Pelodiscus sinensis: one gene and its partner. The protein of the gene in region 2 interacts with the protein of the main gene of each other region in a pairwise test. Links are inferred from orthologs where the notes say so. Each region holds a gene or a part of one and is shown on either strand. Other genes may lie near its edges.

Region 1 (8,092 bases), on a different chromosome or scaffold from region 2:
GCACGAGCTCCTTTCTCCGGGCCGGTCTGTAGTGCTCTCTGACGCTCCGAGCCGACGGGGGAGAGCCGTCCCGTCGGCTTAGCAAGGCCGTTTCCACGGGAGGTGATGGCCGTGCCGCAGGGAGAGGCTCTCCTGCCAGCACAGCGCTGTCTGCCCGGCGGGGTAAGGGCCAGTCCGTCGGCTGCACGTGGAATGGGGCTGGTCTTTGGCGTGGCGAGGCACGTCCCAGCGATGGGGGCGTTCTGTGCACGTGTTTTCTAAGCCTGGGCCTTCCGGTCTCCACTGGAGAGCCCCTGGAGAACGAGAGCGGGGGGGATCTGGAGCCAGGCCCCTCTCCACCAGTCCTCCAGGCAGCGGGGAAGTTGCGGGTGCACGGGCCGGCGGGCGGTAGTTGCACTTCGCTTGTGAACAAGCATTTCCCAAGTGTGGTCCCAGGAGCTTCTGTCCTGCCCCGAGCGAAGGCAAATTTCCTCTCGGCCCTTTGGGCCAAACCACTCCGCGTCTCCCAGTTTGACACAAGCTGAGGGAGTGATGGGTGGAGGGGAGGGAACCTTTAATAGCTGCCATCCTGGCAGACCGAGGTATGGTTGTCCCCCTAAATTGTTACCACCCACTGGCTGCAACTGACCCATCCTTCCCTCAGAGACAAACGCCCGTTACATGAGCATCCGGCTGCCCCAGCTACCATCACCTTTCCTGCTTCGTGGCTCCCCTCTTGGTTGGTGCAGTGAAGGATGAACAGGTCTGGGAGACTGAATTTCATTTCCACCTTTCCCCGTGCTCCTTCTAGCCCAGGGCTGAGACGCTGTGGATGTTTTGGGGGTGTGGAGCAGCTTGCTTGGGTTGCACCCATCTTGGAGACCTTCAGTGTCCATAGCTATCCCGCTAGCATCTCTCTTGAGCTTGGTGGGGAGCGAAAGCTAAAGGCCGGCCGGCCCCGTCCCAGGCTGCTGCTGGCCTTAAACTGGGGCTGCCGTTCCCTTTGTACGTTAAATCTGCATCGCAACTTTAATGCTGCGCCTTTCAGGGACCCGCGCTTGCAAGCGGAACTCCAGGCCTGAATCACAGCTCTGTCATCCGCTACGCCTTCCATATACTGCAGCCTTCTTGAGGGGAGGAGGGGGAAAGCAGGATTCAGAACCCAATCGTCTCCCTCCCCAGGCTGCAGAAGTCGTATCCAATTAGTCAATTTCACCAGCTGGGCACAAGTATTAGCATCAATCGGAGACTTTTCCCCTGGCTCCAGCAGGCATTGCATTCAGGCCCATGCCAAGGGTAGTGAAGGAAACCCTTTGATGGGAGACTTTAATCATCGTTAAGGAACCTACAGATGCCCGACGGCAGTAGCCCGATGGCCTCATGCCGCTTATTAGCGGCGTATCTGGAGATGGGTGGTGTTTACACAGTTCTTGTATGCTACTTCTTTTCTGCCCCGAGAGCCAAGTGCCTGCTTTGTATATCTGTCCAATGTGGCATAACAGATTATTTTTATTGGCGTTTATTATATACTCTCTTGGGGCAATATTGGACTTATGGGTACATATGTATGGTTTTGTTTAAAATTTTTATATATTTTTTTAAAAGCCCTGGCTATCAAATTAGGAACCCACAGGAAATGGGTTTAGTGTCTAAGCTCAAGTGTTTTATGACAAAACCGGCTGATACATCTATGTGGGAGCCTGTGTGTGTTTCTCTCTCACACCCACACCCAGAGGGACTGGAAGCCGCCAAGTTCCTGAGTGGATTAGAACAGGCGTAGGGCTGCGCTGTTATCCAAGATAGCATGGGGAGATGTGCTGGCATGGCTAAAAGTAGCAGTGGACAGGCACACTGGCTTCAGAGCAAGCTGCACAAGATCTGGGTAAGTACTTGCATTGCTAGCTCATGCCACCACATGACCTTGGAAATATTTAGCCATGCAAGTGCAGGTATGTCTAACCCATGGGCTGTGTCTAGACTGCATCCCTTTTCCGGAAAAGGGATGCAAATTAGACACATCGCAATTGCAAATGAAGCAGGGATTTAAATCCCCCCCACTTCATTTGCATAAACATGGCTGCTGCTTTTTTCCAGCTCGGAGCTTTGCTGGAAAAAAGCGCCAGTCTAGACGGGGATCTTTTGGAAAATAAAGCCTTTTCCAAAAGATCCCTTATCCCTCTTAAAATAAGGGATCTTTTGGAAAAGGCTTTATTTTCCGAAAGATCCCCGTCTAGACTGGCGCTTTTTTCCCCGCAAAGCTCCGAGCCAGAAAAAAGCGGCAGCCCTGTTTATGCAAATGAAGTGGGGGGGATTTAAATCCCCGCTTCATTTGCAATTGCGATGTGTCTAATTTTCATCCCCTTTATGGAAAAGGGATGCAGTCTAGACAGAGCCATGCAGTAATCACGCCTAGAATTGCAGTATAGACATCACCCATGCATGCAGAGAGTCCAGTCCAGCTGTGGTAAAGGAAATTGGTACAGTTGTCTGCAAAGTTTGGAATTGTTGGCATGAGAATCCTAGAACTTCAGACCTTTCAAGTGCCTGGGAAAGAACTGTCACCCCTATCTGAGGAGCATAAAGAGAGCACTTCCTTCAGAGCAGGCTCATTTCTTTTTACGCGCAAGATTTCAAGATGATGAGATTTCCTTTGCACACTCCTGTGTGGCTCCTTTTCCTGCTGGTTATTCCTTTCTAAGAATTTGGGGGTTTTGCTCATTTTTTATATGTATATCTTAGCACTAACAGCACATATACATAGTACTATTTTCAGAAGAAAATTAGGATAACTCAGCAGATCACACATTCCCTGTGACATGAGGCATGAGTTAAGTGGAAATCCAAATAAGGGCATTTTTTTTTCTATTTTGTATATTTTTGTAGTGATGTTTCTATTTAAGGATTCATTAAAGTTCAGTATTTTTTAAATGCAGAGTGGCGGTCTGTGCATTGAATTGTATGCTCTAATTAAACTCAGATACCAGAATCATGGGGTGACATTCTCTTCTCTGTCTTCTGAAGGAGGCCAGATTAGATTAAGCTAATGGCCTTTTGTGCTTTTAAAATCTATTAACCTAAGAGTTCAGATCATCTACTGCAAATTAATCAGCCCTTATAAGGTGCTTTGTAGCAGTAGATTGCCAAGCATTTCACAAAGGAGGTGACGATGATCCCTATTTTACAGATGGGGAAACTGAGGTACTATTGAGGCAGGGACTTGCCTACGGTCACCCTGCAAGCCGATTGTTGAGCCAGGAATAGAATCTAATTTTCTCCAATCATTGTTCGAGACTCTCTCACTTTACCCAAAGCAGGGTAGTCCAGCTGGGCTGAGGCAGGAGGGGGGAGGGGGCTATTTGCACCTCTACCAATCACATTGCTGTGTGCCTCGGTTTCCCCATATGCACAATGGGAATAATGATAGTGACCTTCTTAGGTAAAACAGGGGAAGCCATTACATCCCCAAAAGCAGTCAGATCCTTCCTCTAAAAGGCCAGACACCCCACAGGTGTAAGGAATTATGCCATCAAGGTGCAGGAAGTACATAACCGGCTGTGTTGGGCTCTGCAGGACAATAAAGCATCATGGCGTAGCTGACTCCAGCCCACACTCAAAGGCTATGTCTACACTGGTGCGATCTTGCACCAGAGAAATGCAAATGAGGCTAAGCGTAGAATATCACCGAGCTTCATTTGCCTATCTAATGAGCTGCCATTTTGCGGAAGAGGCTCTTGCGCCAGAAGGAGCTGTCTACACTGCCCCTTCTTGCGCAAGAAAAACCCTCTTGCTCAGTGCTTTTTTGCGCAAGAAGGGGCAGTGTAGACAGCTCTTTCTGGCACAAGAGCCTCTTCTGCAAAAATGGCAGCTCATTAGATAGGCAAATGAGGCTCGGCGATAGTCCATGCTTAGCCTCATTTGCATAGCTCTGGCGTAAGATCGTGCCAGTGTAGACATAGCCAAGGAGGCTGGGTCTGTGCGTCTCTCTCCCAGAGCCTGGGCCGAGGGGCCAGAGCCGGACTAAGGGGTGGGCGAGCCGGGCAGCTGCTCGGGCGCCAACTGATGGAGGGCGCTTGACGGCAGTTGTACAGGGCGTGTAGCGTCCCTTATAGCTGCCATCAGGCACCGTGCACCCAGCTCCCCCCCACATCCCAGTGGCGCTGGCCAGCAGCGCCCTTCCCCCCACAGCCACGGGGCCCTGCACGGCCAGGCAGCGCATGCGCCGTGGGCCCCAGGCTGCGCGCCAGTGGCCATGGCCGGACAGCGCATGCACCGTGCGCACTGGGGCGGGCCCACACAGGCGCCATGCGCTCTGGGGCGGTGCCACGCACCCGGGCCTGGGGTGCCGAAATGGCTCGGGCCGGCCCTGCGAGGGGCACAGATCTTCTACCGCTGGGTGTTTAGTTTTTCTCTCATGCGTCTCCAGCTGGGACTAGAGGCCTTGGGAAGTCCAGACAACTGCCCCAGTGCCCACAGGCCCCCAGCGTTGCCAGGTTTTTGCCTGGACTGTCTGCTATTCGGGCCCCCTGTTCAGTAAAAGCAGCAGACAGCACCGGACATGAGAAATGTCTGGTGCTTCCTTTGGATGGACGTGGGGTGGGGGTGGGGGTGGGGGCGGGGGTGGGGGTGCAGTGTGGGGCCATTTAAAGGCGCAGTACCCCCTTTTTTTCTCAACTTTGGTCAAGAGATTTTTTTCCTGGTGTTTTTTTTGGGGGGGGGGGGGGGGTATTTGTTAATTCATCTGGCACCCCTAGGCCCCGCCCCCTGTGCCTGCATTGGGAATAGGGGGCGGGGTCAAGCAGCAGGCGCCCCCCCCCAGCAAGGGGGGGTGCTCTGCGGGGAGGGGGCATCCCCTACAACGGGTGCAGAGGGCCGTGGAGCGGCTAGTGGCACTTTACGTCATGACACGTCACCACAAGGGTCCTAGCCCTGGGGGACCAGGGTGGGGATGAAGAAGAAGGGACCCAGCGAGCCACTTCCGCCCAAAGGGAACATGGCCCCCTAGGGGCCTGCCCGGCCGACTTCCGCCCTTAGCCGTCATGGCTCCCCGGCCACTTCCGGCCTCGTCCAAGATGGCCGCCACGTTCACTGCCCCGTTTCAGCCGCGGTGGCCGGAAGTGGGAGGGTGAAAGGGCGGAAGTCGGCGGGGGAGGCGGGAGCGCGTTCGAGATGGCGGCGGGGCCCATCTCCGAGAGGAACCAGGGTAAATGGCGGCGGCCTCCGACCCCCTCGCCCCCCCCCCCCCGCCACGAGGGGCTGGGCCCGATCCTGCCCCCACAGCCAGAAGGGGGGGGCTGGGTTCCAGCCGGGGGGGCGGGTCCTGCTCCCACAGCCCGGGGGGGGGGCTGATCCTCAGCCTGGGGGGGCCTGATCCTGCCCCTGGTGCTGGCTGGGTTCCAGTGGGGGGGGCCAATCTTCCCCTCCCAGCTGGAGGGGGGGCTGGGACCTCCCCCCAAAAGCGGGGGGAGGGGGCTGGGTCTGAGCCTGCAGGGGAGCCCGATCCGCCCCTCCCCCCCCACCAGAAAAGCTGGGCGGGGTGGGGCTGAGTCCCAGCTCGGGGGGGGGGGGGGTCTCGATCCTCTCCTCAAAAATGAGCGGGGATGGGGCTGTGCCCCAGCTGGGGGGAGGCGACCTCCCCCCCCAAAAGCCAGAGGGAATGGGGCGTGTCCTAGCTTGGGGGGGCCACGCATCCCACTAAAAGTGAGAGGGGTGGGGGCGCTAGATTCGGTTCCTCTGCTTTGCATGTGATTTCTGTCAGTTCGTTTTTTGTGGGGGGTGGCGGGAGCTGTGGGTTCTCACTCTGCAACCCTGGGCAGATCTTCCCTCCTCTCTCTGCCTCAGTTTCCTCCATAAAATAAATACCTTGGGGTGGGGGTGAGATTTTAGTTTGATCTGAAGTATCGACTTTGTGTTGCCTTGGCAATGGGAGGGGATCATGGTCAGCAGCGTCATTAGGTATGGTTTGAGGGTGTTACTGTACAAACGTGATTTAAGGGGAGTTGCTTCCTTGCACGCAACAAGGGGAGGCAGTGTAGCCTACCTGCTAGAGCACTGGCCTGGCCCTTGAGACACCTGAGTTCTATTCTTGGCTCTGTTGGGTGATCTTGAGCTGCTTCTTCTCACTGCCTCAGTCTCCCCATCTGTATTATGGGGCTGATGATGCTGACCTCCTTTGCAAAGTGCTGTGAGAGCTACTGAAGGACTAGCTAAAAGTTAGGGATTAGCACCTCTTTGGTGCATGTCTGCACTTCAAGCACGGGTTTTAATCCTCTGGCTTATTGGGTGTATAATACTCCAGAGGAGTGTGTTTCATTAGGGGTCAAATCTTGTGCTGTTGAAGTGGAGGCAAGTTTTGCTTTTGACTTAGTGGGCTCAAGCTTGATACAGAGCTCCTCTCTTCTGAGGGGGGAGTTCCTAACTCCTCTGAAATAGCAACGAGATTCCTCTTCAGAGCCATGTAACCCAGAACCGTCTCCTCTTCCCCCTCTCAAGATGCTACCGTGTACGTTGGTGGCCTGGACGAGAAGGTCAGCGAGCCGCTGCTATGGGAACTCTTCCTGCAGGCGGGACCAGTGGTCAATACTCACATGCCCAAAGATCGAGTCACAGGTCAACATCAAGGTAAGGCGCTGTCGGGGCCTTTCAAAGATGTGTGTCTGCAAAATAACGCATAGATCCGAATCCTCGTGGTGCCTGGTGCTGTACAAACACTGACCAGCCCGTCCCCAGGCCTGAGCTTATAATTTAAATCATTCTTCTGGGTTTCAGTTTACTCCATGCGTATGTTGCCACTGGTTCTAGGACACAGCACGGACCACATCTCATTTTCATATTGTCTCACTCCAGTTAAAAACATATGAACGGCCATACTGGGTCAGACCCCAAAGGTCCATCTAGCCCAGTGTCCTGTCTGCTGACAGTGGCCACTACCAGATGCCTCAGAGGAAGGGATTACAACAGGTAATCCTCATGTGATACCTCCCCTGTCACCCACCTCCAGAGAAACAGAGGGTAGGGATACCATTTCTACCCTTCCTGGCTAATAGCCATTGATGAACCTAACCTCCATGAATCCATCTAGCTCTTTTTTGAGCCCTGTTAAAGTCCTAGCTTTCACCACATCCTCTGGCAAGGAGTTCCACAGGTTAACTGTGTGCCGAGTGAAGAAAAACTTCCTTTTGTTTGTTTTAAACCTGCTGCCTATTCATTTCATTTGGTGATCCCTAGTTCTTATATTGTGGGAATAAGTAAATAACTTTTCCTTATTCACTTTTTCCATGGCCAGTCATAATTTTATAGAACTCTCTCATATCCCCCCTTAGTCTCCTCTCTTCTAAGATGAAAAGTCCAAGTCTTTTTAATCTCTCTTCATATCGGACCCTTTCCAAATCCCTACTCACATTCTTGTTGCCCTCCTAATCGGTTGCGTTACTTTGAAGAGTAGACGCGTGTTCTGGGCTCCGTTACTTTTTAACCCAGTTTCAGTGGAGACTTGAGGCTTGTCTACAATTGAAAGAGGCTGGAGCAGCTTTGCTGGCAAACTCTCCCAGTGGGAGAGACTGCATATAACAGAATTTTGTAGTTCCCTACATAGAATAAGTTATAGCAACTAAAGGACTTGCTGGTATCATATGTACATGTAGATCTTTGCTGACCCAGCTTTGCCATGTCGGCATGTGATTATTTCACACTCCCAGGCAACATAGCAATGCTAGAAAAACTTCCGAAGTGTAGGCCAGCCAGTAGTGAAACTGGTACAGATCCCTCTTTGGAGACTCAGAGCCGTTTAAATCTTTAGCTTGCAGCTGTGAGCTATGGGTGTTAAACCCGGTTCATCAATTGAACTTGATGAGTGTTCACGCGTGCAGCTGCACTAGTTTAAATAAATCAGTTGCAAAATGGCACCTTTAGATCGGTGCTACTTCATGGCTAGATCAGGCTTCAGAGGCCAAGGGCACGAGAAATCAATAGATGCAGGTGAGGGAGAAAGATGATCTGAATTGCAACGGAGTGGAGACGTAGACCGAGGTGGTTCCGGACACTAGATGACGCAGTGAGAGTTCTGTCTGCAGGGGGACAGTTGGCCTCCTCCGTCATTCCAGCCAGTTGTAGATGA
Region 2 (6,952 bases):
CAGCCCCAGCGCACTGGCACAAGGGCGTGGGCCTGGAGTCTGCGGCCTCTCTCTGGCTGGGACCATGGAGAGCACCCCGAGTTGTCCTCTCCAGAGCACTGGGATCCTCCTCCCGTGCCCCACCTCTCTGAGCTCGCACTGCCGCAAACCTCCCCTCCCCAGGGGCTTCCCCCACCCACCTTCAGCCCAACACCCTCCGCGTTCTGCACTAGCCAGACCGCTCCGGGCTCCCCGACCACAGCCAGCCTCTCCCCCGCAGGGTTGCCTGTCCAGGAGCCCGCGGCAGGTCTAGCTGCAGGCCTGGCTCCTACAGGCCCTTCTGAGCCTCTGCCTGCATTACGCAGGGGAACGGTTCTGGGAGCCTGACACATCCTCCCCCCACAGCCCAGAGCTAGCGGCTCCGTCAGGTGCCCGGACTCGTCACATGCCGGCTCGGCTGTCTCCCAGCAGCAGGAGATGGAAGCAAGAGCATGATGCGCTCTGGGGTCTGCGAGGCGTCACCTCACGTCCGAGTGTGGCCCCGGCTGCTTCCCCGAGACGCCCTCCCGTTGCTGAGCGCCACCACCGAAGAGAAGTCCTGACAGGAACGGCCTCGCGACGCAGCCAAGGAGGTAGGAGGCCGGCTACTTCCCGGCTTCCTCGCCGGACCAGTCACCCGTGCTAGAGCCCACCTGACCGACTCCCCCAGCCCGTCGAGGGGCGCCCATGGGGCAGGCAACCTCTCTCCGTAACAGCAGGTAACGTTAGGGTAGCAGCCAGCGAGCGCTGGATCCGAGCCCTGGCCCCCCGAGCCAGCCAGCCGCCCTGCAGCTGGATGGGAGCTAGCACCCCCTGGAGGGGAAAGGCCCCCAGGTCCCATTCCCCACCCCCCAGCCGGCTGAGCATGCTGTCCCACACTGTGATCTGTGTCTCTGATGCCAGCAAGTCGCATGAGCCAGGCCGTGGCTCCTGCCCTCACTGGACACCTGCAGAGAGGGGAGTCTGATTGAAGACAGAGGGGGGGTGCTACCCCCGCTCCACCCCCTCACACAGATCGATTATCTCCAGGCCCTTGGTTGCTTTGCCCTTGGTTCCCTGCAGCACGGGTTGGGGCTGGTCTCTCCACGCTCTGTAGCAAAAGCCTCACAAAGCCCCCAAGTCCCTCTGAAACCAGCCACAGTGCGGCACGTACACGCGGTTCTCTCCACAGCCCAGGATCAACTCTCCTTCCCCCACAGCTCTGCTGACACCATGGGAACCGGGATCACCTACAGAACCAGCTCAGGGCCTAGTGACATGCTCCACGGCTCCATTCTCCACCGAGATCCTCGCCACACCGCCTAGCCCACGAGCCGCGCTATCGGAGCTGAGCGCAGGGTGCCAGGCACAAAGCCAGACAGAAAGGGGGTCTCTCCCTCCTCCGTGGCTCCCTGCCTGCAGCACAGATCTGCTTTGCCACCAAGGCACCCCTGGAAAGGGGGTCCCCAACCGTGCACTGGGGGAGCTGCCTATGAGCATCTCTGAACTCTGGGCTGTTCCTCTCTCTGGTGCTCGGTTCCTCTTTAGCTGGACAATGGCGGAGTCCTTCCCCACCTCGTGGCAAAGGAGAAAGCTGCCAGCACTTCTAAGGTCTGAGCCCGCACAGGCAACAGAAACTCCACCAAACCAATCTATTCGGGGGGGGGTCTTCTGCAACAGCGACTGGACGCCTCTGCTTGCCAGTGTCTAAGAGGCAGGGCTCAGCACCCACCCTGCGGCACCAGGCCCTTCCGGCGACGGATGAATGCCAGGGAGATGCAGTCGTGCCAGGAAGCTAACAAGCCTGTGAAACTCACTGCCACCAGGGGCCACTGAGGCAGGGGTGAAATCAAGGGTGGGACAATTCCAACAACAAGGCTTCAAAAGTGCAAAGCGAGTCTCTTGCACAAGCCCCCTCCCTTGGCAGCATCCGGGGCTGGTCCCTGGCAGACACAGGGCATGGGGGAGCTGGCCAGAGGGGGCTTCCCTTCCTCCTAGGCACCTGCCTCTGCCCCGTCTCCAGGCCCAGCTGCTCCCTGGCTCAGCCACGTTACCTCAGCCAAGCCAACTTTTCCTCTCAGTGGCACCAGAGCCGTGCCAGGCTTTCCTCTGCCCAGCACCCAGCACGGCAGGGCACCCCGAGCGCAGCCAGGGCCCGTGTAGCAGCAACACGATGGGGGGGCGAGGGAGCCTCCGGTCCCAGTTTCGCCTCCACCCTCAGCTGGCTCTGTAGTGACGGCACCCGGACCCCCAACTGCCCCCCTGGCTGGCCACCCCCCAGCGTGCTCCAGCGCCTCCGTGGCTCGTCTCTCAGCAGGTTCATCCGCCAGCTGCCCCAACCCCTCATCAGTTCCTCCCTTTCCCCTTCCAGCCCCCAGCGACCCCCACGCTCCTCTCTCCGCAACCGCCCCCCAAGTCGACCCAACTCCCCCTCCCCCACGGACTCCGAAGACTAGGTCCCAATCACAACAAGCTCCTCCCCCGACCCCCGCAGACCACGCCCCCATCTCGACACGCTCCGCCCCGAAGACCACGCCCCCATCTAGCCACGCTCCGCCCCCCGACCCCCGCAAACCACGCCCCCATCTCCACACGCTCCGCCCACGACCCCCGCAAACCACGCCCCCATCTCGACACGCTCCGCCCCCGACCCCCGCAGACCACGCCCCCATCTCCACACGCTCCGCCCCGACCCCCACAGACCACGCCCCCATCTCCACACGCTCCGCCCCGACCCCCGCAGACCACGCCCCCATCTCGACACGCTCCGCCCCGACCCCCGCAGACCACGCCCCCTCCCAACGTTTCCGGACGGTCCCACAGACCCAGCCCCCCCTTGCTTCTCTGCCAGCGCCGCCCCCCCACAGGCGCCGCGGCCCCGCCCCCCGCGCGGCGGCGCTGACCTGGGCGGCGGGAGCCGCGGGCCGGGCCGCACACACCGCTCCTCGCGCACCCGCCGCCCGCCCGACGCGCAAGATGGCGGCGGCTCCAGCGGCCGAGTTCTGCCGACTGTCCCGGCGGCGGCGAGCGCGGCCCCGCCCCCCCGCGCGCCTATTGGTCGCGGCGCCGCGATACCATTGGCCGGCAAGCCTGCCGCTCAGCGCGCGCCGGATGTGGGCGCGGGGCCGCGGCAAGTCGCTCCCAGCGCTCGCGGCACCTCTGGAGGGCCCGCCTCCCCGGGCAGGGGATTGGCTGGAAGGTCAGAGGCCCGCCCCCCCCACAGGAATAAGAATGGTGGAGCGAGCACAGGGCCCGCCTCTGCTCATCGGCGATTGGCGGAACGCTCACAGGGCCCGCCTTCCTATGCGGCCACTGAACAGCCGGGTCATGACCCAGCCGAGTGACCGCAGGGACATGATGTCATGGCCACGTCACGACGCGACGAGTTTTTTTATCATGGGTGTGTTGGGCGGTGACGCCATCAGGCAAAGTGCAGTGACGGTGTGCAGCGACCTCGTCACGTGATGTCACTGTGGCCCGCCGTGACGTCATGCACACGCTGGGGGGAACGGGGAGGGGTTGCGACTGTCGCCCAGGGGAGCTGAGGGTTTTTTTCCTCCGAGGATGAATATGGTACAGTCCAGAGGTGCTAAAAGAGGGGGGGATCATATGGTACAGTCCGGGTGGGGTGGGAATAGGCGACGGCAAACTGTACCAGGAGGGGCGGGATGAGGAAGTGCTTTTGCACTGTACCCCCCTTCCGGTAAGAAATGGTACAGTCCGGGGGGGGGGTGCTATGGGACAATCCCAGCAGAACATGGTAGAGTCCGGAGGGGGGGAGTTCCATGGTACAGTCCGCGAGGGCCGATATTTAACCCGGCGCGCGACCCGCCCCATTCCGCTCCGGTCCCTTTGTGACGTGCTCTGACGCAGCGTGAGATCGCTCCCAGCCAGGGCCCCTCGTGCCGCGGCCGCGCAGGGCGGGGTTTCCGGTTCCGCGCGTCAGTGCCCTTCCCCCCGCAGGGGCGAGATGGCGGCGCTGGGGCGGTGTGCGCGGCGCGCGCTTCTGCTGCGGGGTTTCCCGGCGCGCGGGGTTCGCGCGGGGTCGGGCCCGGGGGGCGGGGCCGCGGCTGCCGTTGTGTCCCCGCCCCTCGCCGCGCGGGCCCCGCAGCAGCCGCACGAGGAGGAGGAGGACTTGATGATGGCGACGCTGCGCAAGGTGAGGGGGCGGGGCCTGGAGGGGCGGGGGGGGTCTGAGGAGGCGGGGCCTGAGGGGGAGGGGCGGGGCACGGCACTGAGGTGGGAGAGTCTGAAGGGGCGGGGCCTGGAGGGGCGGGGCACGGCACTGAGGTGGGAGAGTCTGAAGGGGCGGGGCCTGGAGGGGGAGGGGTGGGGCTCGGAGCTGAAGGGGCAGGGCCTGGAGGGGGAGGGGTGGGGCTCGGAGCTGAAGGGGCGGGGCCTGGAGGGGTGGGGCTCGGCACTGAGGTGGGGGGCTGAGGGGGCGGGGCCTGGAGGGGGAGGGGCAGGGGGCTGCACTGGGGGTGGGAGGGGGCGTGCAGAGTAGGGATGTTAAATTTTGATTAATTAACTAACTGACTATTCGATGGATTTTCCATCAACTCTGCGATTAGTTAATCGACTATTCGATTAGCCGCCGAGGGCGCTTCCGGGTTGAAAGGCAGCAGGAGCCCGCCCGGCTCTTTCCAAGGGCTCATTGCAAAGAATGAACTGGAGCCGGGGCCAGCAGGGGACTCTGAGCCCCCCCCCCACACACACTGGCCGGAGCTCCATGGTACAAGAGCCGCCACCGCGTCCCTCCCATGGAGCTGGAGCTGGGGGGAACCGGCTTTTCAGCAAGGGGCAGGGAAGTGGCTGGTCGCTCACATCCCTAGTACAGAGCAGGGTGTGTGGGGGTGGGGCAAGTTGGGGGACCAAGGTGGGGCCGGGGATTGCATTAGGGGGCAGGGGTTTGGGCAGGCTGTTAGAGTGGGGGGGGGCTGGAGGGGGCAGAGCGAGTGGGGGTGCTCGGGAAACCCAGAGCAAGGGGAAGGGGAAGGAGCACATCGTGAAGGGATTCAGGGTTGTGGGTGGGTGCAGTGGGGCCTGGGGGCAAGTGCAGAGGGAAGGAGGGTGCAGAATGGGGCGTAGGGCAGATGGGATGGAGGGATAGGCAGGTGGGGGATTTGTGGGGGAAGGGGTTGTACTGGGCTCCAGGCTAGAGTTCCAACTCTGCCTGTGAGACCCCAAGATTCAATTCCTAATTTGCAACAGCCTCCTTGTGTGGCCTTGGGTCCATTCCTTGACCTGTCTGTGCCTCAGTTTCCCATCTGTGTGGTTGGGGTGAGGCCTGTCAGGTGCTTGGATCTCTGTGGGGGGGCAGGGCGGGATTGGGGAGTTGGGGTGGGTTGGGGGGCGGTAGAGATCGCTGGGAGAGGGCGCCATGGGGCTGATGGGAGGGATTGGTGTTGAGGCGAGACCAGGGTGATTGGGGGCACAAAGGGCTCATCCTGCTGGCAGAGACAGTCACGCGGGGGGGGGAATCCCTGCCCAAGCCCCACCCTTGCCCGTCCCCTCCCTTAGCCCCAGTGGGGGTGGGCTGAGAACCCAGCGCCTCAGACCCTCTCTCCCTGGCTGACCAAGCCAGGGCTGCTGCCCAGTCTCCTTTGTGCATTGCCCTTGGCCGGGCCCAGACAAGGTCGCTGGCGGGTGGGGAACGCTGCCTGGGAAAAGGCCCCTTCCCAGCTCTCTGCTCCCTTCACTGCCAGGGGAGGGCGCCCCCCAGCGCCGAGCTGGAGCCGGCTCCCAAGCACGGCCTCGCGGTTTTCCCCAGGGGCTCTGTCCGCAGGAGCAGCGCCTGCCTCCGACAGCTGTGCCCACCTGCCCGGGCGCCGGGCCTGGCCCCGCAGGAGTTCAGTGCCCTGCCTCACTGGCCATGGGGCATAGAGCTGCTGGCGGGGGCAGCTCCGTGCCTGGGCTTGATCGGGGGGGGGGGGGGGGGGTAGAACTCCAGGCTCTGGGAACCAAGGTGCTAAATCCCTCACTGCTGTGGCTGCCAGCCCCCCCCCCCAACTCAGTTTCCCTGTTTAGATTCCCACCCACCCCCTTAATCCTGTGTGGCCCATGCTATGTGGGTCACAGGCAGTGCCCAGCAGGGGAGCCAGCTAGCCCTGGCCATGGGGGGAGAGGGGCTGGAGCCAGGGGCCTCTGCCCTGAGGGCTGCTGGAATGAGGGGCACATTCCCCCCTTTCCTCTGGCATTCACCTGGGACCTGCTGGCCTCAGAGCCAGGACTCCTGGGTTCTCCCTGGCTGTGGGAGAGGAGCGGGGTCCAATGGTTAGAGCAGAGGGGTGACTGGGAGCCGGGACTCCTGGGCTCTCCCTGGCTGTGGGAGAGGAGCGGGGTCCAATGGTTAGAGCAGAGGGGTGACTGTGGCCAGGACTCCTGGGCTCTCCCTGGCTGTGGGAGGGGAGCGGGGTCCAATGGTTAGAGCAGAGGGGTGACTGGGAGCCGGGACTCCTGGGCTCTCCCTGGCTGTGGGAGGGGAGCGGGGTCCAATGGTTAGAGCAGAGGGGTGACTGGGGCCAGGACTCCTGAGCTCTCCCTGGCTGTGGGAGGGGAGCGGGGTCCAGCGGTTTGGGAGCCACCCACAGGCTGATCCTCTCCCCTTGTCAGACCAGGCTTGGCCAGGTTGGTGCGTGGGCAGGGACCGATTCTCAGCTCCCATGGGGCCTGCTGTCCCTCCCTTCCCCCCTCCCGAAACAGCAGCTCCGTGTGGTCTGCTGCCCTGATGCACGAGTGGGACGTGCCCTGGCAGGGTAGCGCCAGGCAGCAGACCTGTCTGTGTGGCTGGTCCCCAGCTGCTTCAGCCCAGAGGTGGCTGCATCCCAGAGGGGGGAGCGCCCGAGGACAGAGGAAGGCTGCTGTGGTGACTCGCGTGTGCCTCGGGCTGTCCTTGAGGCGCTAACGGGCCTCCCGCCAGCTGGGAACCGGGCTCTTTGCGCCTCCAAGTTCCTGC

Evidence for each region.
Region 1: the proteins of RBM10 (region 2) and SF3B4 interact in binary tests that used the Homo sapiens proteins (3 or more experiments, as listed by UniProt). The link is inferred for Pelodiscus sinensis from reciprocal best matches to the Homo sapiens genes RBM10 and SF3B4.

Annotation. Positions count from the first base shown.
Region 1 is NC_134734.1:20,278,852-20,286,943, reverse strand, and holds the start of SF3B4 (splicing factor 3B subunit 4), read left to right. Parts: upstream 1-5,019; 5' UTR 5,020-5,145; coding exon 5,146-5,179; intron 5,180-6,468; coding exon 6,469-6,597; intron 6,598-8,092. UniProt on the Homo sapiens protein: Component of the 17S U2 SnRNP complex of the spliceosome, a large ribonucleoprotein complex that removes introns from transcribed pre-mRNAs.
Region 2 is NW_027465846.1:58,651-65,602, forward strand, and holds the start of RBM10 (RNA-binding protein 10), read right to left. Parts: upstream 3,059-6,952; 5' UTR 2,901-3,058; intron 1-2,900. Other genes in the region: NDUFB11 (NADH dehydrogenase [ubiquinone] 1 beta subcomplex subunit 11, mitochondrial), read left to right, coding at 3,968-4,156. UniProt on the Homo sapiens protein: Binds to ssRNA containing the consensus sequence 5'-AGGUAA-3'. May be involved in post-transcriptional processing, most probably in mRNA splicing. Binds to RNA homopolymers, with a preference for poly(G) and poly(U) and little for poly(A).